Linked DNA regions of Arabidopsis thaliana. The main gene of each other region encodes a partner of the protein of the gene in region 4 in a complex. Each region holds a gene or a part of one and is shown on either strand. Other genes may lie near its edges. The genes, in order: TOC120, TOC34, TOC132 and TOC75-IV.

Region 1 (6,216 bases), on a different chromosome or scaffold from region 4:
AAACAGCAATGTAAAGAAAACCCAGAAATCATAGCATTCCAAGCAACCATATCTCTCTTAGGCATTTCGTCGAACACCTTTATAGCCATCTCAAGTTCCCCACACTTAGCATAGAAATCAACCAGAGCAGTACATACATACATATCAGTTGCAAAGTCGCTACAATTCACATGACTATGTATCAGCTTACCATCGTCAATTGCTCGAAGACCAGCACATGCTTTCAAAACAAACGGGTACGTATATTTCGTGGGTCTAACACCAGAATTCAGCATCTTGTAGTACAAATCCAAAGCTTTTTCCGCGAAATCATTCGAAGCATAGGCTCTGATCATCAAATCCCAAGCAATAGGATTGATCCTTGGATGAGGAATTTCATCGAACACATGGCGTGCAAGTTCCACTTCATTGCATGATGCGTAAAGACGTGTTAAATTGACGAGCACTGTAGAGGAACTTAACGTAAGAGAGCGTTTAAGAAGATGCTGATGAATGACCTGACCTAAGACCAGATTCCTTGAGCGAATACAGGTTTCAAGAAGACTTAGAAACATTGGGATAATGGATTTTAAGTTTCAGACATATGTTACAACCAAACATCAAAGACTTAAAACAAAAGTGAATTCCGACAACTAAAAAAAGAAAAACATGTTTCAAGAAAAAATCAAAACAGTTAAATGTTACTCATCAGTGTCCATATTGCATTTGCTCAGGGGAATAATAAGTAAGAAGCTTCTTGAACAGAGGAACAAGTGCAACCACAGCAAGTTGAAGCTGCTCAGAGCTGTTTACGCGGATGCTTACTTGCCCTGCTCCTCTGTTATTCAGATTAGCACGAGCAATGAGATTAGAGGAACGTCCAATGGGTACTTGAGACTGTATATTCCCTCCGATAGCAAGATCGCCATGCCAATCCATCACAGAGAGTCCAAGAGTTGATAAAAACCGACCAAGCGGATAATCTTTATCTCGAAACTGAGCTTCTAAAGTACCACCATAAGCAACATCTCCACGACTAGTCATTGCTCCACCTGACATAACCATCCTGAACCGTTTATTAGCAATCAACTTATCTTCGACTTTTAGTCCCGCGGAAACTGAATCACCTAAGAGCGTAACAGAGAGACCAGCTGCTGCTTTGTTTTTCCTAAACTTGTTAAATCTTGTTTCACTTCGAATAGTGTACGCTAATTCCTTCCCAGCATTTTGCATGTCAAAACCTAGGGAAGTTGATCTACCTTCTCCATGTTTAACCGAGCTGGCCAATTCTAGCTGCACATGTGCATCCTTCTTGTCCTTTGTCACTTGGCCAGAGAAAGATACTGGTATTTTGTCTTTAACAACAAATAGTCGTTCCGCATTCACACCTTCATAACCAATATCATGATCCCACCCATGAGTTTCCAGCACTGGCCTAACAAGCCATTGATTGGAGGTATCAAGGTACCGGTACCGATGAGTAGGATTGTCAGAGTCAAAAGATGCAGGTAGAGATAAATCTGGCATTGGAACTGGAACAGATGCAGGTTCACTTCTCTCCTCTTCCACATTTTCACTATACCCGTTAGGCATATCTTTAATCTCAGCAGCAAATTTCTTCAACAACTTACGTCTCTTTCTTTCCTCTTTCATCTGTCTCTTCATAAATAGTTTCTCCCGATACTCCATCTCATCGAGATATTCCTTCTTCTGAGATTTGCTAAGCTTAGTCATCTCTGCTTTAGTCAACCGCTTAAAGGGAGGAAGCTCATCATACTCTGATTCTTCCTCAGAATCTGATGATTCGTCTAAATCATCTTCATCGTCTTCATCATCGTACTGTTGCTCAGGAAGCTTAGCTTGTGGTCTTGATTGCAGAAGCGATGAGAGGAGCAATGGTAGTGGCGGAGCCTTGGACCGAGTTGCAAATTGTCCCCCTGGAATATTATCTTGTAATTTCAGAAGAGCATTTGCTTCGGCAAGAATCTTGGATGCAAATGAGAGTAATAACAAATGAGGCTTCCACACTTGGCCATTAGGTAATACTCTCTGGCCTGCCCGATTTGTCCTGCAAGCAGAGTGGTTCTCAACTAAAGAAACAGGGTTCATGAGCCTCATATCTCCCGCTGCTTGGCGAATGGCCTGCTGGATGACATGAGAACGTTGTGTCACAAACATGTCATAGCTAGAAGCAGTACCATTTGGGCCATCTGGTGGAGCCGAAGCGGCATGAGTCAAACCCACAATGGCATTAAACCATATTGATGGTCCAAAAACATCAGTGATGGTGCGTAAGAGAGGCATGTCACCAGAATCTCTGCTTTGCATATCCAACCTATCAAGATATAACACAATGTCAGGCGGACTTTTCTTGATGAATGCCCTAACAGACTTCAGGATCTTCTCATTCTTGTGTTGATCTGACCAGGATGGTAAGAGACCGGGAGTGTCAATTACCCGTACCTTAATTCCCTGAACAAAACCCTCAATATCCTGAACCTTCTTTGTCCCCACCTGGAATGCATCAGTACTAATTTTCAGTTCATCAAAAATAGAATTGATGGTTGCACTTTTACCAACCCCACTTTTACCAAGCACCATAATCGTACAAGAAAAATCAAGGGGATCTTGTGCAGCTGCCTCAAGCTGTTCTGCCATGGCACTGGCACGATCAAAACTAAAGGCACCAACACGGCTTCCGTTTCTGCCCCTCAACTGTTCAGCCAATCCAAGCCTGTACAAAACCTGAGCAACAACAACATTATGTGGAGTTTGCCCTAATCTATGTGAAAGCCTCAAAAATTTGACCCTGATAAACTGGAGCTTCTCACGGGTCTCATCATGCTCATCTGTCTCTGCAGTGGTAGAGTCTTCAGCTTGCTGAGGCTGATTGTGAGACACATTTCCATTGACACGAGGCTGTTGTGTAACGCGTGGTGCAGGTTCCAAAAGTGGAGCAGCACGACCAAGACCTGCTGGGCGAGCAGGTGGTAATGCTGCAGTATCACTTCTAGACTCTGTTGGTGAAACAGAACTTAATACCTCAGATTCTCTTTCCATATGTTGGCTTTCCTTAATCTCTGGACCTATATTTACACTGCTATCTTGCTGCTTTACAATTTCCTTATTAGATTGAATATCATGTCCTCCATTACTGTTTTGACTTTCAGTCTCTCCCTTCTCCTCCGAACTAGATTTTTCCAATGGAGATAAGGTCCCAGCTGCTACTTCAATACTATCATTCAAGGATTTGTCACCTGAAACAATTTTAACACTATTGAACTCAGCACCAGTCTTACCATTTCTTTGTTCTGTTACCATGCCAGCTGATACATCAATTTCTTCCTCCCATTTTTCGTCGTCAATACCATTACTCCCTGTTTCCACGGAACAGGCACTTACTGAGATAACTTCCGCCACCAGTTCTTTATTCTCATCAGGAGAGACTACTCCATTTTCTGAAGAAGAATGTGTATTTCCGTTTTCCAAATTCACATCCTCAGTAGCTAAATTGGAAGTAGCTTTCTCACTGTTCTCAACCACATCCAAGCTTGATGCCATTTTACCATAAGAAATATCTGCATCTGCTACTTCCCCGTGATCATAATCATTCATTTTGAGAGTCACCAAATCAGAATCAGCCTCTTTCGTAGTTATACATTGCTCGTTAACCTCACCATGGCTCTCTCCAATCTCCGAATAATTAACCTTTAAATTTTCTACTCCTCTCTCATTTCTACTTGTTTCTTCCAAATCACACACTTCATCATTGGAAGCTAAAGGAAAATCCTCTTGCAACACATCGGTTTTGAGAGATTCAGGTTTTAGACCCTCCTGCGAACCAATTGCTTCCTCAAAGACCTCTTCTTCATTATCCTTCACTTCATCAGATCCCACCAACTCACTAATTCTACCATCCTCTGCAAGCTTCTTCTCATCCCCATATAACCTGGTTACAATCTCAGCCCCATCTCCCATTTCTAGGATCACCCAAAATCACGAAACACTGCACCAACCAAATTTTGTATCCTCGTTACTTTTAAATCCACAAGACACTAAATTAAATGGGAGTGAAACTAATATTTTCCAAATCGTAGGTATATTTTGCTCATAGGAATTCAGAAAATACAAAGAAGAATCTATTGATATTGAGGAGAAAAAGTGATGGCGAGAATCTAACCTGGTTAGAGAAGGCAAAAGTCTGGAAAGAAAAAAAAACAACTTCATGCGCTTTTTTTGTATTTGTATAAATCGCCTTTTACTCGCCTGCGACAGTGCGACTACGACGGGAAGGAGAAGGAGATAAGCGACTTTCATGGACGGTTTAAATCGGTTTGGGTTTTAACATCGGACGGTGGAAAATGGCTCTTATATTGCAATCGTGAAAAAGGCATGTCACGTGATCAATAGTAAAGTGTGGGCCAAGGCCTTTTTAGTTGGGCTGCATAATCTTGTTGGCCATTTTATCTTTACGACAAGAGAGAATTGCTTTATTTGTTCTTTTGGAGCTATTCAACTGTCTTTTCATTGGTTGTCACTATATAGATGGTATTTGAAGATCTTATTAATTGTTAGAAATTTGATTTTATATATGGCTCACCAAATTTTGAAACATTTTCAGATGATAAATGGTTTTATACTTTTTCAGTTGATTGATAAAAGAGTTTGATTCACATTGACAGTATCCAGCTTTCTGGGAGGATAGAGGAGAAGAGAAAAATAAGAAACACAAAAGGTATAACTTTATAATAAAGATTCAAAAATAAAAGGAAAGAAATGCCCAAATTCACAAACATGAAGGACATTTCTGTCATTCTTTGTCATATATAAGAAGAGATCACCCAACCAACCTTTCACACTTAAACAACACCACACTTTTGGTTTTCCTTCTTCTACCAACTACCGAGGAACTCTCTTACGGCTCAGTATTTCTTGTTCCTTGAGACGGTGTTGGAACCGAGCAAGCCTGGCTTGAAGACTGACTAGCCCTGCTGCTTTCCGGGACAACACAAAGCTCAGTTGCGTCACATAGTTTTCTATCATGCTTCCCGGTTGGTCCACCTCCGCTAGAAGTTTCATTTCCTGATAATGATATAACAGAAAAGAAAATTGAATGATGTGATAACATTCTACAATCGTTTTTTGTGCGCTGCAATGATGTGATTTACATACCTCGCGAACAATCTCCATTGTATCCTCAATTTCTTTTCTGTGCGCTGCAATCAGAGCTTCTTCTTCCTGAAAAAAGTCATGTGATGGTTACGATAAGACATAAACAGAACTACCGTTACTTGCAAATCAAATTCACAGCTTCATCTCATGTTTTAAAGGGATAGGTGAGTACTTTACCTCAAGCAGTGCATCGAGGTTTTCATCAAGCGAAGGGTCGGTTTCATATTGCCTTGAAGCGGTTTCATATTGCCTTGAAGCAGTTTCACTTGCGTTCTGTCTAAAATTTGTCAAGGTAGGGATATCCGACGAACTGACATCTCTTTTAGACCAATTTTGTGGTCTGTCTGGTTTTTCTTCCCGCAACCCTTTCCCACGAGGTGGTGACACTTTCTTTACTTTCTCTTCACGGTCTGAAGTTTCTTGGGGATATGAAGAAATGTTGTTTCTCTGACTAGTGGAGCCAGCAAAAGAACTGTTCGGCTCTGATCTTCCCTTGTCCATTGAGAATGATGGGATTCCACTTTCCTCTCGATAATTTGTAGGCTGTCTGAAGTCAATACCCGACGTACTGCTGTTGCTGTCCTTCTCGACCACCCTCCTCCTGGTTTCTGGTACATTCACTTCCTGTGGAGGCTCAAAGACATCTTCTACATCATTTGGGCCCAACAAAGGATCCTTATTAACCGGAGGCATTGAATTCGCAGTTTGATCTTTCTTGCTATTTCCACTTTTAGATAGACTTTTGACTCTGTTTATTCCATACATAACCAACAGAGGTTAATAGACGATGAAATTGAGAATTTGTTTCACAAGAGGCTATAGTTTGTACAAAACATACCGATCAGCATATCTTAGAGTATTGAGGGTATGTTCACACGATCCTGCATTTGGAGAGATGCAGGAAATCATCACCGTTCTTGAGTTTCCAACAAATGAGTCACGGAGCACTTCCGTTAGTTTGCTTCCACGAAATGGTATATGTAGCTGGTCATTGTCCAGTGCACGTATACATTCCTTAAGAGCCAAGAGACTCTTGTTGATTTCTGCGCCTTCAATCCTAAGAAA
Region 2 (4,737 bases), on a different chromosome or scaffold from region 4:
GCGTAGCGGTGGTATTAGTCCCCGTCGCAGCGGAAACAGACCTTCTCGTCACAGGACCCAAATCTTGTCCCTGAGATCGATCAAGGGTAGCTTCACCGCGGCTCAGATCTCTACTCGTACCACCGGCTTCCCCAACACCACCGTTCGCAAGCGATTCGCTTTGAGGGTAATCAAAGTTTGATTTTTTCTCTCCGGCAAGAATCGGCGTCCGTCTAGTCGCTGCCGCCGTATTAGCGGTGATCGACACCGTTGATGCCGACATTTGATCTGGTTTGACTACACAATCGCACCCCTCGGATAAAAAACAAATCTTTACACTAATGTCGAAATCAGAACCCTAAATTCACTAGAGAGAGTTGGAAAATTCGAAAACTTTGTTCGAAATTGAGGAAAGAGTAAACGATCTTCTCTGAACCGTCTTCTCCGTTTGCCAAATTCCTCCTTTAAACATCGGTTTTTTTTTTCTTTAACTCAAATTTTTATTTTATTTCAAAACTTGCATCGCGTCAAAAATAACTGCAGCGGTTACTTTTACCATTAATGACAAAATGGAATTATCTCTTCTAATCATTTTCACCAAGAGAGTAGCTCTTAATTACGATTTACGAGAGGCTAAAGAAGATGTAATTAAGATGAGAGAACTTTGCGACAGTAATTATCTGTGAACCACATTTCTCGAGTTGTATCACAATTTCAACTACAGAACAATCTCTCAGATAGACAAACAAACCAAACAAAACTCGTGTCCACAACTCAAGACCTTCGACTTGCTAAACCGGAGTCTCGCAGCTCCCACGCCGGTTTACTCTCTCTCGAAACATCGGACTTGATTGCTCGAACCAATGGCTTCATCACCAGCAAGTACTGCATTTTCAAACCATCAAAAGATGAATAAATGATGCATGATGTTTTGATCAAGCCTTATTCTGTATTGTTACTGAATGGTTCAGAGGGGCTTACTTGGAATGCAAACATTAAAGGAATCAGTTTTTTTCCTCTTTCGTTTGGGTTTGGCCCTTCGACCAGTTTCTTGTCAACATGAATCGCCTTGTTGCCATTAAAAGAGATCTCTGTGATTTTGTTGAACAGATTGGGAATCCAACTAGTCCCGCATGGAAGAATCTGTCACAAATTTGGAAAATCCGACTTCAAGATTGGTCCAACTACTACAAGACGCGAGAAAAAGAGAACGTGGACAAAACCAATCAACTGACCTTTTCATCGCTTTCGTTCTTATGGCATCTTCCGCTGTTCTCAACAAGAATGACAGGAATAGAAAAACCCTACAATAAAAGATCAGAGGTAAGTGAGTCTATTAACTTGACTACTATCAAGGTCGTTACAGACATTTATGTAAGGAGGAAAAAACTATACCTGCAAATCCTGTTTCTTCAGTTGAGCGCCTGTCTGGATAACTTTTAGAAGAGCATTAGATCTTTTGGAGACAAAGTGGTTATAATTTAACCCGTCTGGTGGAGAGAACTGAGCATGGGTGAGAACAAGAGCAGACTTCTTCCATATCTCTTTACCAAATGCATCAGTTATAGCACCGACAACTTGCCTATCAAGGTCATCCACCCGGTACACATCCAAACGGTCTACGTATAGTAGCACATCTATAGTCATGTTGAGGAGAAATCTGTTCAAATTCAACATCCACGAATCCAAATTAATACAAATGCCACAAATGAGCCCCAAATTAGGAGAGTAACTCCTTAGACCTGGAAACAGTTCATCATACCGTTTTATAATGTTGATGGCTTGATCATTCACATATCCTCCCTCAATAAGACCAGGAGTGTCGATGATATTCAATGTAAATCCCGATCTTGTGCGAGAGACCAAGGTAGGCCTCAGTCCTTCAGACTATAAAGAGGGAAAATCACACACTTTCTATGAGAAAAATTAAAAGAAAGATAGCCAATAGTCATAAAGACAAGCCATGAGAAGAGCATTAAACTTGGCACCTGGAAAGTACTAACTGCAGCAGCTTTCTCGCCTATAACTGAATTCACAGTTGATGACTTTCCAACACCACCTTTCCCCATTACAAGGACCGTTAGCGAGCTCACATCCTACACCAGTTTTTTTTCTTTCTTAAATCTCTCTAAGACAAGAAGAAACAAACAGAAAGCAGATGAAGCTAGAAACAAGAAAGGAACCTCTTCTTTATACTTCCCAAGGATCTCGAGCAATTTAGATTGAGTAGCAGGTGGGAACTGCTGGATACCGATCCATTCACGAAGCGTTTGCAAAGCTGCCATGGACACAAATCCTTACCTACACTTCCAAGGAAAGCAAAAAAGGATCACAAAAGAGAAGACTAAATCATCTGCTAAGAAACTAAACAATCAGAAGACCAAAGAACAAAAATGAGTAATCGCCCATAAAAGAAAAAGTTGTCTGATTCCACTATCTGAATCAATCCTATAACTTTCTAGCAATTAAAGTCTCAGAAAATTAAAAAGAAGATAACTTTTTTTTACTAAGAACAAAAACCCTTAAAATCCATCTTCATTTGCCGTTGTCTCCATTAGTTTCTTTTTTCCAGATCTTTAAATGAAAATAATCTCATTGCTTTAGAAACGAACATGGCGCAAGTGGGCATACCAAAAACTAATAACTTAAGCACTAAACTAATCAAGTATTGAGAGATAATCAGAATCCTAAATCCTGAACTGGGGTCAAATGCCAATTTATCAAATGAGCATACTTCTAAGTGGACGAAGTGAAAACCAGATAAAGAAAGAAAACGAGAGAGAGAGTAACCTACCTGAGCTAGAGTTACTAGTGGCGGATATTCGTCGCCGGATTCGCTGACCTCGTATCAAATTAAAACCCTAGAACTGAAATTGACTTTTGAAGATGATTGATTGCTACAAATCTCAATACATGAAAGTACATTCCTTTCAAAATTCAACCGGACTAAACCGAATGTCGTCGGTCTGCACCAATGACGAATTTGCCCTTTTGGCATTTTTTCTTCCATTTACTGGGTTGGAAAGCCCAATAAGGAACTGAAACGGCCCAGATTACTTGTCCTTGTTTTGTGGATCGTCTTTTCTCTAACACACACACCAGGATTTAATCTGAGACTCGTTTCATCTTTTTTACTCGGCGAGCTTGTGAAGAAGAAACTGGTGATTTCATCTCCTTCGATCACTCCCAAGGTATCGTCTTGTTCTCTCGCTCTTCGCCTTCACTGATGGTGATGATTTTCGTTTTCCTTTGAATGAATGTTCTCTCTGGCTACATTTCTGTGGATCTCCATTATTAAGAATTTTCTCCTCCTTCTAAATTTCGCGATCCTGTTTCATGAATTTGATCCGCTTGTGTTGATTTTGATTCTACAGTTATGTTTTTCGATTATGAGCCTCTGATGCTCGTAGATCCGCTGGATCTGCGATGAATTCTTTTTATATTTTCGATTCGCTAGTCTAGTTTCGTTTGGATTCGTGTATTCGAGATCTCTTCCTCTATTACGTGATTTATGATCCTGAAGATCAAATCCCGTTTGTTTCTTCTGATCTCGCTCTAACTGGATTTACTCTAACATTGGTTCTTTGTATTTCAGATTCGCATTACCTTTCTTATAATCGCCGAGATTGTTCGAGCCTGAATAATCAAAATGGTATTGACTTTTGTTCTATGATTGGTTTTTTTCTTTTTCCTTTTTAGTGCATCTTCGCAATTTGGTGTTAACTTTAGTGTTTGATGAGTGTCTGGCGCGTTTTCTAAAGTTGGAACCTGTGCTTTATAGGTTGTGCTTGCTGCTGCCATTGTGGTCAAGTCTGGGAAAGGTTATTTTCATCTATCTTTGACTTTGTCTTCGAATTCTCGTTTTTCAATATTTTTGCGTTTTTTCTAACTTTCTTCTTTTTTATGTAGTGATTGTTTCCAGACACTATGTGGATATGTCCCGTATCAGAATCGAAGGTCTACTTGCAGCTTTTCCTAAGCTGGTTGGAATGGGAAAGCAGCATACCTATATCGAGACGGAGAATGTGCGATATGTTTATCAGCCTATTGAAGCTCTGTTCCTGCTTCTTGTTACAACTAAGCAGAGTAACATTCTAGAAGACCTGGCCACCCTTACTTTGCTCTCCAAACTTGTATGCTTCTTTCTTTCTTTCTTTCTTTTTTTTTTACTTCTGCTACTTTATTTGAGGAGATTATTGCCTTGACTCTGGATGTGTACTGGTTCTTAGTTCTTTTGAAAAGTGAGTGTTCCAAGTGCTGTTTGATCATTTGATTGTTTCTAGGTACCTGAGTATTCCATGTCTTTAGATGAAGAAGGGATTTCCAGGGCATCTTTTGAGCTCATATTTGCATTTGATGAAGTCATATCTCTTGGGCACAAGGAAAGTGTGACAGTTGCCCAGGTGAAGCAGTATTGTGAAATGGAAAGTCATGAGGAGAAGTTGCATAAACTGGTTATGCAGAGCAAGATCAATGACACTAAGGACGTGATGAAGCGTAAGGCTAATGAGATTGACAAAAGCAAGGTACATGACAGGAGCGCACCCTGCTGTTGTATTCTATTTCTGTAACTCCTATTAATATTTCTTATGTAATTCCTAGATTGAAAAGAATAAGCCAGGAGGATTTTCGTCCATGGGTTCAATGGGATCTGGAAGACTTGAAAGTGGTTTCAATGAATTGAGCATATCCAGTGGTGGCGGCGGTGGTTATGGAAGTGGTTCTGGGTTTGGCATGATTTCAGATGTCGACCCTATC
Region 3 (7,043 bases), on a different chromosome or scaffold from region 4:
AAACCTGAGTACAGATGCTACTGGAGGGCGATAGGTCCAGACACAAAGGTCGCAGTTGCATTTGGGCTAGTAGCCGGGAGAATATACGGCACAGATATGACAGTACGAGAAGCGCTTGACGGGCGAGGAGAAGCCTATAAGACACTTCTAAGAGAGGCAACAACTGCATTGCTCAATTCATACAACTCTCTAGGATTTCCTTATAATTCCGTCGCTGTGATCACATATACCAATCTGGCTCTCCTCGGGAATTCGGAACACGATGTCCTCATGACTGCTATTCGTTTCATCAAGGCTAATTCCGGGACCTGCAGATTCACAGTCTGCAATTGATTGAATGTGTTTTCAATACTTATATACTCTACACTCTTTCTTTCTCTTTTACATTGTTCTTGGGTCCTTTTGTAATACTATAAAAGTCTATACCTGGATTCATTGGAGAATTTATGGACTATTATTGTATCCCTATTTATACTCGGCATTAAACTTAGTTGTTACAAAGCCTAACGTTCTAGCACTGTGAGCACTAAATGTTGTTATGATATAATGCATCAATGATTGGAGAGGGACATGAACAAAAGTAGATATGCTTCATTCATAAGGGAGATCACAAGGTCTTAGAAATAGAAGAAAAACAAACCACTGAGCTATTATATATCAGACAAGGAACGTGTTATGTTCTGGCTATTTCAAGACACAAACTTTCCTCCAACAATTGGTCTCTTGCTACCAGACAGATCCTGTTCAAAACCAAAGCACATCAACGCTCAGCAAAATCCATTAAGAGGGTTTCCAAGAAAACGAAAATATCGAAATCAGTAATCACAGTAAGATATAGAGATCAGATTGTGTACCTTTTCAACTCACTCTAACATGTTCTTGTGACTAATCGATTCCTAATACTCCAGTGCAAAGGGATGGAAGTGAAATCAGCCTAAATGTTTCTTAATCATTGTCCATATTGCGTTTGCGGGTAATAATAACTAAGTAGCTTCTTGAAGAGAGGAACAATCGCAACCATAGCAAGTTGGAGCTGCTCGGAGCTGTTAACACGAACACTTACTTGCCCTGCTCCTCTATTGTTCAGATTAGCACGAGCAATTAAATTAGAGGAACGTCCAATGGGAACCTGAGACTGTATGTTCCCTCCAATAGCAAGATCACCGTGCCAATCCATTACAGAAAGTCCAAGAGTAGTCAAAAACCGACCAAGCGGATAATCTTTATCTCTCAACTGAGCTTCCAAAGTACCACCATAAGCAAAATCTCCCCGACTAGTCATAGCTCCACCAGACATTACGATTCTGAACCATTTACTAGCAATAAACTTATCTTCGACTTTCAACCCCGCAGAAACCGAATCACCCAAGTGTGTTACAGAAAGACCAGCTGCAGCCTTGTTTCTCCTGAAATTGTTAAATCTCGTTTCGCTTCGAAGAGTATAAGCCAATTCCTTTCCAACAGTTTGCATGTCGAAACCTAGGGAAGTTGATTTACCCTCTCCATGTTTAACCGAGCTGGCCATTTCTAGCTGCACATTTGCATCCTTCTTGTCTTTTGTCACTTGACCTGAGACAGATATTGGTATTTTTTCTTTTACAACAAAGAGCCGTTCTGCATTCACACCTTCATAACCAATATCATGATCCCACCCATGAGTTTCCAGGACTGGCCTAACAAGCCACTGATTGGAGGAATCAAGGTACCGGTAGCGGTGAGTAGGGTTATCAGAGTCAAAAGACGCAGGTAGAGATAAATCTGGCATAGGAACTGGAACTGATGCAGGTCCACCACTCTCCTCTTCCACATTTTCACTATACCCATCAGGCAAATCTTTAATCTCTGCAGCAAATTTCTTAAACATCTTACGTCTCTTTCTTTCCTCTTTCATTTGCTTCTTCATTAAAAGTTTCTCTCGGTACTCCATTTCATCGAGATACTGCTTCTTCTGAGATTTACTAAGCGTAGCCATCTGAGCTTTAGTCAAACTCTTAAACGGAGGAAGCTGATCATACTCTGATTCTTCGTCTGAATCTGATGATTCTTCTAAATCATCTTCATCTTCTTCATCACCATACTGCTGTTCAGGAAGCTTAGGTTGTGGTCTTGATTGCAGAAGCGATGAAAGGAGAAATGGTAATGGCGGAGCCTTGGACCGAGCTGCAAATGGTCTCCCTGGAATATTATCTTGCAACTTCAAAAGAGCATTTGCTTCTGCTAGAATCTTAGATGCAAATGAGAGTAGCAACAAATGTGGCTTCCACACTTGGCCATTCGGTAATACTCTCTGGCCTGCCCGATTAGTCCTGCAAGCTGAGTGATTCTCAACTAAAGAAACAGGGTTCATGAGCCTCATATCTCCAGCTGCTTGGCGAATGGCCTGCTGGATGACATGAGAACGTTGTGTAACAAACATATCATAGCTAGAAGCAGTGCCATTTGGGCCATCTGGTGGAACAGAAGCGGCATGAGTCAAACCCACAATGGCATTAAACCATATCGAAGGACCAAAAACATCACTTATGGTGCGCAGGAGAGGCATGTCACCAGAATCTCTGCTTTGCATATCCAACCTATCAAGATATAGTACAATGTCAGGTGGATTCTTCTTGATGAAAGCCTTAACAGAATTCAGGATCTTCTCATTCTTGGCTTGATCAGACCAGGAAGGTAAGAGACCGGGAGTGTCAATCACCCGTACCTTAATTCCCTGAACCAAACCCTCAACATCTTGAACCCTCTTTGTCCCCATCTGGAATGCATCAGTACAAAATTTCACTTCATCAAATATAGAATTGATCGTTGCACTTTTACCAACCCCACTTTTTCCGAGAACCATAATCGTACAAGAAAAATCAAGTGGATCCTGTCCAGCAGCCTCAAGCTGTTCTGCCATGGCACTAGCGCGATCAAAACTAAAAGCACCAACACGGCTTCCATTTCTGCCCCTCAACTGCTCAGCCAATCCAAGCCTGTATAAAACCTGAGCAACAACAACATTATGCGGGGTTTGCCCTAGTCTATGTGCAAGCCTCAAAAATTTTACCCTGATCAACTGGAGCTTCTCGCGGGTCTCATCATGCTCATCAGCCTCTGTAGTGGTAGAGTCTTCAGCTTGCTGAAACTGATTGTGAGACCCATTCCCATTGACGCGAGACTGTTGAGGAGCACGTGATGCAGGTTCCAAAAGAGGAGAAGCACGACCAAGACCTGCTGGACGAGCAGGTGGTAATGCCGCAGGATTACTTCTAGACTCTGTTGGTGAAACAGAACTTACTACCTCAGGTTCTGTTTCCACATGTGAATTTTCTGTAATCTCTGGATCTACATGTACTCTGCTGCTTTGCTGCTTCTCAAGCTCCTTATTTGGTTGAGGACTCTGAACATCATGTCCTCCATTAGCACTTTGAACTGGTTTGTGTTCTCTACTAGTTACCCCAGGGGAGCCACTATTGCTGTGAACTTCAGTTGACTCAGGATATGAGTGCGGCGAAGAAGCCAAGTGTTGCTCTGGTTTTAAACAAGTACTGTCCCCTTCAGTCTCTCCCTTTTCCCCGGAACTAGATTCCTCCAATGGAGATGAAGTCACAGCACTTGATACTTCATTGTCACCTGAAGCATTAGTAACGATATTACTTGTGTAGGCGGCACCAGTCTCACCATTTCTTTCTGCCTCGGACTCACTGTCCATACATACTGAACCATTCTCAAATAGATCCTTACTTGTTCCTTCACCTTCCACAACATCTTGTTCTGTCTGTTTCTCAAATAGATTCTTACTTGTTCCTTCACCTTCTACAACCTCTTCTTCTGTCCGTTTCTCAAATTGATTTTCAGTTGTTCCTTCACCTTCCTCAACCTCTTGTTCTGTCTGTATGCCATCAACTCTTTCCTCCCAATTATCGACTTCAATGCCATCATTCCATGGTTCCTCAATCCCATCATCTTTAGGGATAACTTCAGCCACCACTTCTTTATTTTTAGGAGAGGCGATTCCATTTCCCAAAAAAGAATGAGTCTTTCCGTTTTCAATACCCACATGCTCAGCTGCTAAATTGGAACCATTAGTATTAGTTGATGTAGCATTCTCAGTGGTATCAACAACATCCAAGCTCGATTCAACTTTATCATAAGAACCACCTCCACCTCCTTCCCCCTTATCACCATTCATTTTAGTAGCCAAAACATCAAATTCAGCCTCTCCCGCACCATGGCTCTCTCCAACAGCCGTAAAATCTTTAACACCCCCTTCATTGCTACTCGTTTCATCCAAATCACCCACTGCCTCTTCAAAATCCTCCACTTCATGCTCAACCATAGAACTTTTAAGAGTTTCCACTAAAGGCAAATCATCAGATTCAAACAATTCACGTTTTGGATCCTCCTCCTCCTCCTGCTCATCATTCTCTGAACCAATCGCTTCCTCAAAAACCTCGTCCTCGTTATCATCCCTTACTTCATCAGATCTCACCAACTCATTCTTCACTACTTGCTCATCACTAATTCTATCCTCAGCAAGCTTCTTATCTTCCCTATCTGACCTAACCACAAACTCAGTCCCATCTCCCATTTTCTAGATCACCACCGCTACGGGAAACAAAAGCCACAAATACAATAATCAGAGATCAGAAATCACTCCAATTACCAACTACGCTTTAACCATCAATATAAATTCCAACAACCAAAAAAAAAAAAAAACGAGCACACAGCTAAAAGAAACCTAGATCAGAGTTAATCACCACGAATCCTAGAATCCTTATCCCTTACCAATTCCAGAAACTAAAATTCAATTGAAGTTAACCAAATCGCTTAAACACAGGTCTAAGCGGTGATAGGGATCTCCAAACATGGAAGAAGAACTTTGTTGATTACAGGAAACGAAAACCAAAACAGAAGAAAGAAGACGAAGAAAGAAGAAGAGAAATGGAGAGAAGCCTTACCAGAAGTTAGAGATAGAGAGAGAGAGAGAGAGAGAGAAATAGAGAGAAGGTGAAAAAGTGTGAAGATCCTTTCATGCGCTTTACCGGCTGCGAGCCTGCGACTACGACGGGGAAGGAGATAAGAGACGTTCATCAACGGTCCTGATCAGTTTGGGTTTAAGCATCGTACGGTTGATAATGACTCGTTGATGCAATCGTGAAATGATGCTGACGTGGACTATATAAAGTAGAGTGAGTGAAGCCGTGAAAGGGAATAGAAAACCCTCGTGCGTCAATTCGGTTTAACCAACCCGGTCTGATTCGGTTTGGTCTACTACAATTTTTTGTGTTCTTTCTAATGAGAAAAGTTCAGTCCCTTATTATAGAACCAATGAACGTTTTTTGTGTTAATCTTCAAAGGACAAAGAATGAAAACTCATAACAAATGATACATGAACTCAATAAGCTGGTGCAGCTACTAAGGAATCTTCCCATTACTCTTAGGTGAATCTAAAATACTTTGTCTGCTAATACACATCCAAGTTCTTGAAGACTCTTCATTGTTTTCGCATGAGACCGGGAAATGCCATGACCCTTTCTCTGATTCCTGATTTTGTCGAAACGTAATTGAGAAACTATCGAAACCGGAGAAAAAAAGGACTGAGATGGTAAACAAACCTGAATGACAACCGAAAAAGGAGACGGCATTTCAAGCTTCAGGTTACCTTTCACAAAAGTATACCGGACCTGTACCAAAACCATAAACCAAATGTTCTAATTGTAGACTTCTCAAAGTTGCACTTTTAGTATAAAAAGTTACATATTGTATATAAGTTTATATAACTTTACCTGATGTCTTTCTTTCCACTTTTGGAAAAAAGTACTCCCTAAGAGTTCAAAAATGTGGTCTCTCATCTCATCATTTGTCACAAGCAAACACTTGAGCTTAGCAGCAGCATACAGCCAATACCTGGAAAGGTAAAAAAAACAAAAGATGAGTGTAGTAACCAAACATTGTTTGTGTTTTTTGTCGAAATAATGGTGCTGAGAGAAGCTAAAAGTTCATACCAATCATCATTGGAACCTGGTGGAGTTGCATACAGGACACCGTTACTAATCCATTCTTCAACCAGATTCCGGTGAGTTGGGTTTTCTAAAAGCGTCTTGACCCGTCTCTTGTGCAATAGAATTAGGGGCCATTTGTTATTACCACTTTCACGGTAAAGTTCCTTCATCACAGATTCAAGCTGCTCTATCCCACATGTATGTGATATCAGTATAGCAAGGAATGGATTCTAAAAATATGGAGGAAGAAAAACAAGTACCCCAGAAAAGATGGGAGAACCTGTGAAAGACTGAAACTGCCATCTACAAAATTTTGTTGGTAGAGCCCAATATTTGCTCCATCTACTATAGCTTCGTAATCTCCATGTTTCTCAAGCCAGTCCTGCCAAATAAGATAGCAACATTCAACAAATATCGACATTTGAATACTCAAGATTGATGACAATTCGCAGCAAAAACTCCAACCAGTGTACCTATCTCTAAATGCTTATCATGCAATATTTAATGTCCAAGACTTATTATAACCAAGCTAAGAGAATCCCATCTCTAACCTGAAACTCGCTGAAGACCACATTTGTCTCACATGAATTCATCTTTGTCTTCCTATCCATAGCCAAAGCCACCAAAGAATCCACAAACTTCTGTGTTTCTACCTCATTGGTATCTACACAAGCTAACTGCTCACTGCAGCTCAAACATCTTCCTGTTGAGCTAACATTACCTTTCTTTACAGTCCATTTACCCTCCCCAACCCACCCATGCCCGTGCCACCCACCTCCATTATTCAAAACAGCTTCTCTAAGCATCCCAACATCAGAACCAATTCCATTATCACCAACCTCACCAGCTTTTTCTCCACAGAACCATTCCTCAATAATTTTCAAAGTTTCTTCACTAACGCAGCCAACATATTCCCTCAACTTATGTAAATATCTATAAACCTTGTTTTCTCGACCCGTGGCAGCACTTACCTTCAACAAAGCCGATATCTCTGCCTCCTCCAATGCAATACCTGCAGCTTCCATGTGCTCTTCTACCTCATAACCCTTTTCAGCCTCC
Region 4 (4,193 bases):
TCAGTCTTACAAATGCAAACTCTCGTTTTACTTTGAAGGGCTTGAGTATCAACTTGGGGATTTTCGTTTGAGAGTTGGTAAAGTTGTTCCTACTCATGCTGAGACCATTAGAGGCGTAGTCATGGAGGTAACAAATTTTATATCTTTTGAGTACGTTGAGATATATTAATAATCAATGTTAATGATTATCTAACACTCTAGTTAATTCATAATTTGGAGTTTGTAATGTAACTCAGTAACTAAAGGTTATTAGCTATGATTGGTAACACACATAATGACGGTTTCTAATGTGATTAGGCAGAAAATTTGTCAATTAAGAAAATTTGCATAATCTACGGTTTTCCATGCAACAAGTTTTCATTATACGAATTTTTAGTGCTATCAACTTATGCCATTATGCTATTATGCACTACTTTCATTTGAAACCTATAATTATGTGTGTGTACTATTTAGGTGGAGTATCTTCCTATATCATCAATGGGAATGGCAAAAAAATTGATGGAGGAGTTCTTGGAGATATGGCAAGAAGCTATGTCGAAAAGGTCGTTGCCGGGTAAGTTTGTGAACAAAGAACTCAACTTTGAAAAGTTTGGACTTGGAGACAACTACACTCCGCAACATACCGCTGTTGGATATGCTTTCTTCATGGCTAATTTGATGGCAGCAATTCAAGCTGGGAGAGGCTAAAGATAATACAACAAAGACTTTTATGAGTTTTTGTGGTATCATTGATTTTAGAAGTCATTAAGGATTGAAAAACAAATGGTAGTTTTAAAAAGTTGGAAGACCAATTTGTAAACTTGAGATTGGAGCAGATTGTGAATTCAGTTTCTTACCAACTTTTTGGTTTGTTTTATGACTGTGAAAACTTTATGAATCTTTTGACCCTAAACTCAATTACTGGTCACTTGTGTCTATAAAATGCATAAATAAAGCGAAAATGTTGGATTACGATTGGGCTTAGTGTTAGTTATTTGGGTCAGTCATTGAGTTGGGCTTAAGGCCCATAAATGAGAAGAATCCCAAATGCAGAATCAAAACGCAAAGAAGTTTTGGCGGTTGCGATTGCATGTTTTCTTCCAAACAGAGCTTACCGGTAGTAACAAACAATATAGAGAGAAAGAAGTGTGAGAGCTACAAGTTTGAAGAAATCGAGTAGAGAGAGAGACAGATCTAGATTCTTCTTCTTCTTCGTCTTCTTCGTCAACCTCTAGAAGACTCGTGTAGGTACGTAGCTTTGAATCTCTTCTTCTGTAACCTGAAATTTTGTTAATTCCTCTTGAGAGTGAAGCATTATCGAGTTTGATCTTCGAGAAATTGTACATAAATCGCTTGTTTCTCTCGTGTTCTTTCTTTGTACTGATTTCAAAACTTGAATCGCAAAGAACAAGCGATAAGATCAAAATCAACTACCAAAATCACTACAGAGAGCTATTTTTCTTTGGATTTTGGTTTTAAACATGTGTTTGATTACGATTCCAGACTGAAATTTGTATCTGAGTCAGTGGATTTTTTGGTGTTGCCTTGTTGATTCGTTCACGTTGTAGTAGTAGATTTCAGAATTTTGCTTTCGTTGCTTTGAGTTTAGCTTAGGATTTGGCTTTTAACAGAGTTTCTATTTGAGTAGAATTGTAAAATAGAATTTGATGTCTGCCAAGTGTTTGATGAAATTCCTCTGAGAAATGAACCTTAAGTTATTCTAGTGTGTATTAATGGATTTCTTCTTTGTTGTTCAGGTTATTGTGATGGAAGCTGTGAAGGAAGCTGTGAGGAAGATTAAGTCCTTAGTCATACCACATGCAGATGAGAAAGATAATGGTATTGTTTTTGAGATCAAGCTTAATGAGACAGATCAGAGAGTAGAAAAGTGGGGTCTTGATCCTTCTTTGGTATGTATTGTCTTCTACTAAACTTGGCAACTTTTTTATGTTATAAGAGTTTTCTATTGAATTTACTATGTCCTTCGTTTGATTATCTTGCATTATTAGGATTTTTTCGAGGTAACAGGGAACTGTAATTTGGGACGTCCAAATAGCGAGGGATCTAATCAGTCTCTCATGGGTTCTGTGACCATTAGGAACATCTTTAATCCTAAGCTGGTACACTTGTTTTTACATATGCTTCTGATACCTATCTAGTTTATTTTGTAGTTTGATATTTTGATCCTTTAATACGCTTGGTTTTCTCTTAGGATGATCTTTTGTCTAAGATTGAGTATGTACGGTTTCTGGAAGCTGTTAAAAAACCTAGAAACCGTACCTTCAAAACGAGCTTCTTCAATAGCAGAAAACTTAGCCCAGTGTTCACTGGAGGACCAGGCTATGAGGATCTAGTGCCTCCAATGTTTGTGGGTCGAGATTGTCTTAAAGCTACTATAACTGAGGTAACCAAGTCTCCTATATATATAGATAGTCAACTTGTAATCATCTCTCACAAGCACCTTTTTTTTCACGTCCAGAACTTAACCCGTCAGAGAGAACTCACATATGGAGTTATGTTTGAAGAGATAATAACCCGAGATGAAAACAGGCGAATCTCTGAAAATGGGCTCTTGTTATCGCCTGACGGTGGAATCAGTATTAATGGACCTCCAACAACTCTAAGTGGTACCGGTATTGACCACATTGCCACTCTACAAGCCAACATAACCCGAGACAACACCAAGCTAGTGAATGGGGCTGTTGTTGGAGAGAAGAATATCTTTCAGGTTTTGTATCAAATCCCTTGATGTTGGTGTTTTTAACTAAATTAGAGCTTTAATAGTGTACTAACACAAATCGCAGGTGGATCAAGGCTTAGGTATAGGAAATAATTTTCCGCTCTTCAACCGCCACCAACTATCATTAACAAGTTTCATTCAGCTGAAGCAAGTAGAAGAAGGATCCGATAAACCACAACCACCAGTTCTAGTCCTCCATGGTCGTTACGGTGGCTGCATAGGCGATCTTCCAAGCTATGATGTTTTTGCTCTTGGTGGACCTAACTCCGTTCGAGGATACAGCATGGGAGAACTTGGTGCAGCTAAAAACATTCTCGAGGTTAAATATAATTACGAAAAACATGCTTTTGTTTTGGTCTTTCAGTTTATAAAATCTGATAATGCTAATTGTATATAGCTTTTTTTTGGTATGTTGCTAATTGTATATAGCTTGGTGCTGAGATTAGAATTCCTGTCAAGAACACACATGTGTATGCATTTGCTGAGCATGGAAACGATTTGGGAAGTTCAAAGGATGTGAAAGGGAATCCAACAGGGCTTTACAGGAAAATGGGACATGGTTCATCGTATGGTTTGGGTGTGAAACTCGGTATGGTGCGAGCTGAATATACTGTACGTCACAATCGTGGAACCGGTGCTCTGTTTCTCAGGTTCGGGGAGAGATACTAAGGTCATGCCATGAAGACTTTGTGCTGCTTTCTTTCTTAACTCTAATACTTTGGTTTATAATCCTGATACTCTAGTTATGTAAATGCGTGCATAGCAAGTCATTGAGTTTAGGCATTTGTTTAAAGCGATAGAAGAGAATAAGAACAAGCCGTTTCATGTCTCTCGTCACGACAGTAAATGTTTAGTTAGATTTGTTTTTGACTTTGAAGAAGTCTGTTCACTGTAGACGTAGAACACGTACTACATTTACTCATGCCCTCTCTATTAACTTGTTGATTACGCAAAACGACTTTTCCGACACTTATGACCTAGTCCTTATTGGTCCACTCGCATTTCTCGGATGTTTATGTCCTCTCAATGGGATGTGACGGACCAATAAGGTTTATTGTATTACATCTGGCCGGTTTGTGAAACACCGTCATATATCCGAAATGGTAACTTGTATATATTTTTACTGTATATAGAAGGTTCCAGATTTTTACCACTTGTTTGCGTAACTCTCTAGCTATTAATGTATTAAAGATTTTATTTAACAAAATAAAACTCAAAAGTCACGAGTTCTAATGTCGAAGGTTAAAAATAAACAATTTTACATATGTTGTGATCTCTTTGTGAGTTTATCTATTTCTGATTTTAATGGTTGTTAGAATTGCTTAAAACGACCAGTACTGCAAGTTGATATCTATTAAACCTTTGATGAGCTTATTGTTCTGGAATTATCAAGGATTGGGGTGGTCTCATGTATTATCAACCGTCTAAAGGAAATGCATAAAATACAGTTTAGAAAGTTTTTATTTCAATGGAG

Evidence for each region.
Region 1: TOC75-IV (region 4) and TOC120 share a complex: the UniProt entries of both Arabidopsis thaliana proteins name them as parts of the TOC core complex.
Region 2: TOC75-IV (region 4) and TOC34 share a complex: the UniProt entries of both Arabidopsis thaliana proteins name them as parts of the TOC core complex.
Region 3: TOC75-IV (region 4) and TOC132 share a complex: the UniProt entries of both Arabidopsis thaliana proteins name them as parts of the TOC core complex.

Annotation. Positions count from the first base shown.
Region 1 is NC_003074.8:5,657,782-5,663,997, forward strand, and holds TOC120 (translocon outer complex protein 120), read right to left. Parts: upstream 4,286-6,216; 5' UTR 4,160-4,285; intron 3,986-4,159; 5' UTR 3,958-3,985; coding exon 688-3,957; 3' UTR 555-687; downstream 1-554. Other genes in the region: AT3G16610 (pentatricopeptide (PPR) repeat-containing protein), read right to left, coding at 1-554; KINESIN-13A (P-loop containing nucleoside triphosphate hydrolases superfamily protein), read right to left, coding at 4,879-5,061, 5,152-5,217, 5,329-5,899, 5,990-6,208. UniProt on the Arabidopsis thaliana protein: GTPase involved in protein precursor import into chloroplasts. Seems to recognize chloroplast-destined precursor proteins and regulate their presentation to the translocation channel through GTP hydrolysis.
Region 2 is NC_003076.8:1,473,509-1,478,245, forward strand, and holds TOC34 (translocon at the outer envelope membrane of chloroplasts 34), read right to left. Parts: upstream 2,927-4,737; 5' UTR 2,774-2,926; exon of another isoform or gene 2,281-2,773; 5' UTR 2,265-2,280; coding exon 2,163-2,264; intron 2,076-2,162; coding exon 1,968-2,075; intron 1,867-1,967; coding exon 1,742-1,866; intron 1,640-1,741; coding exon 1,375-1,639; intron 1,284-1,374; coding exon 1,215-1,283; intron 1,123-1,214; coding exon 961-1,122; intron 865-960; coding exon 754-864; 3' UTR 519-753; downstream 1-518. Other genes in the region: SUN1 (SAD1/UNC-84 domain protein 1), read right to left, coding at 1-262; AT5G05010 (clathrin adaptor complexes medium subunit family protein), read left to right, coding at 3,629-3,631, 3,761-3,800, 3,889-4,112, 4,263-4,505, 4,582-4,737. UniProt on the Arabidopsis thaliana protein: GTPase involved in protein precursor import into chloroplasts. Seems to recognize chloroplast-destined precursor proteins and regulate their presentation to the translocation channel through GTP hydrolysis.
Region 3 is NC_003071.7:7,210,540-7,217,582, forward strand, and holds TOC132 (multimeric translocon complex in the outer envelope membrane 132), read right to left. Parts: upstream 5,079-7,043; 5' UTR 4,941-5,078; exon of another isoform or gene 4,588-4,940; 5' UTR 4,571-4,587; coding exon 950-4,570; 3' UTR 855-949; intron 741-854; 3' UTR 520-740; downstream 1-519. Other genes in the region: AT2G16630 (Pollen Ole e 1 allergen and extensin family protein), read left to right, coding at 1-333; PRORP2 (proteinaceous RNase P 2), read right to left, coding at 5,398-5,526, 5,598-5,666, 5,769-5,889, 5,988-6,166, 6,265-6,366, 6,536-7,043. UniProt on the Arabidopsis thaliana protein: GTPase involved in protein precursor import into chloroplasts. Seems to recognize chloroplast-destined precursor proteins and regulate their presentation to the translocation channel through GTP hydrolysis.
Region 4 is NC_003075.7:5,802,706-5,806,898, forward strand, and holds TOC75-IV (Outer membrane OMP85 family protein), read left to right. Parts: upstream 1-1,683; 5' UTR 1,684-1,712; coding exon 1,713-1,889; intron 1,890-1,936; exon of another isoform or gene 1,937-1,988; coding exon 1,989-2,099; intron 2,100-2,191; coding exon 2,192-2,383; intron 2,384-2,458; coding exon 2,459-2,707; intron 2,708-2,783; coding exon 2,784-3,038; intron 3,039-3,148; coding exon 3,149-3,388; 3' UTR 3,389-3,650; downstream 3,651-4,193. Other genes in the region: AT4G09070 (TATA-binding related factor (TRF) of subunit 20 of Mediator complex), read left to right, coding at 1-127, 454-687. UniProt on the Arabidopsis thaliana protein: Mediates the insertion of proteins targeted to the outer membrane of chloroplasts. Required for the import of protein precursors into chloroplasts.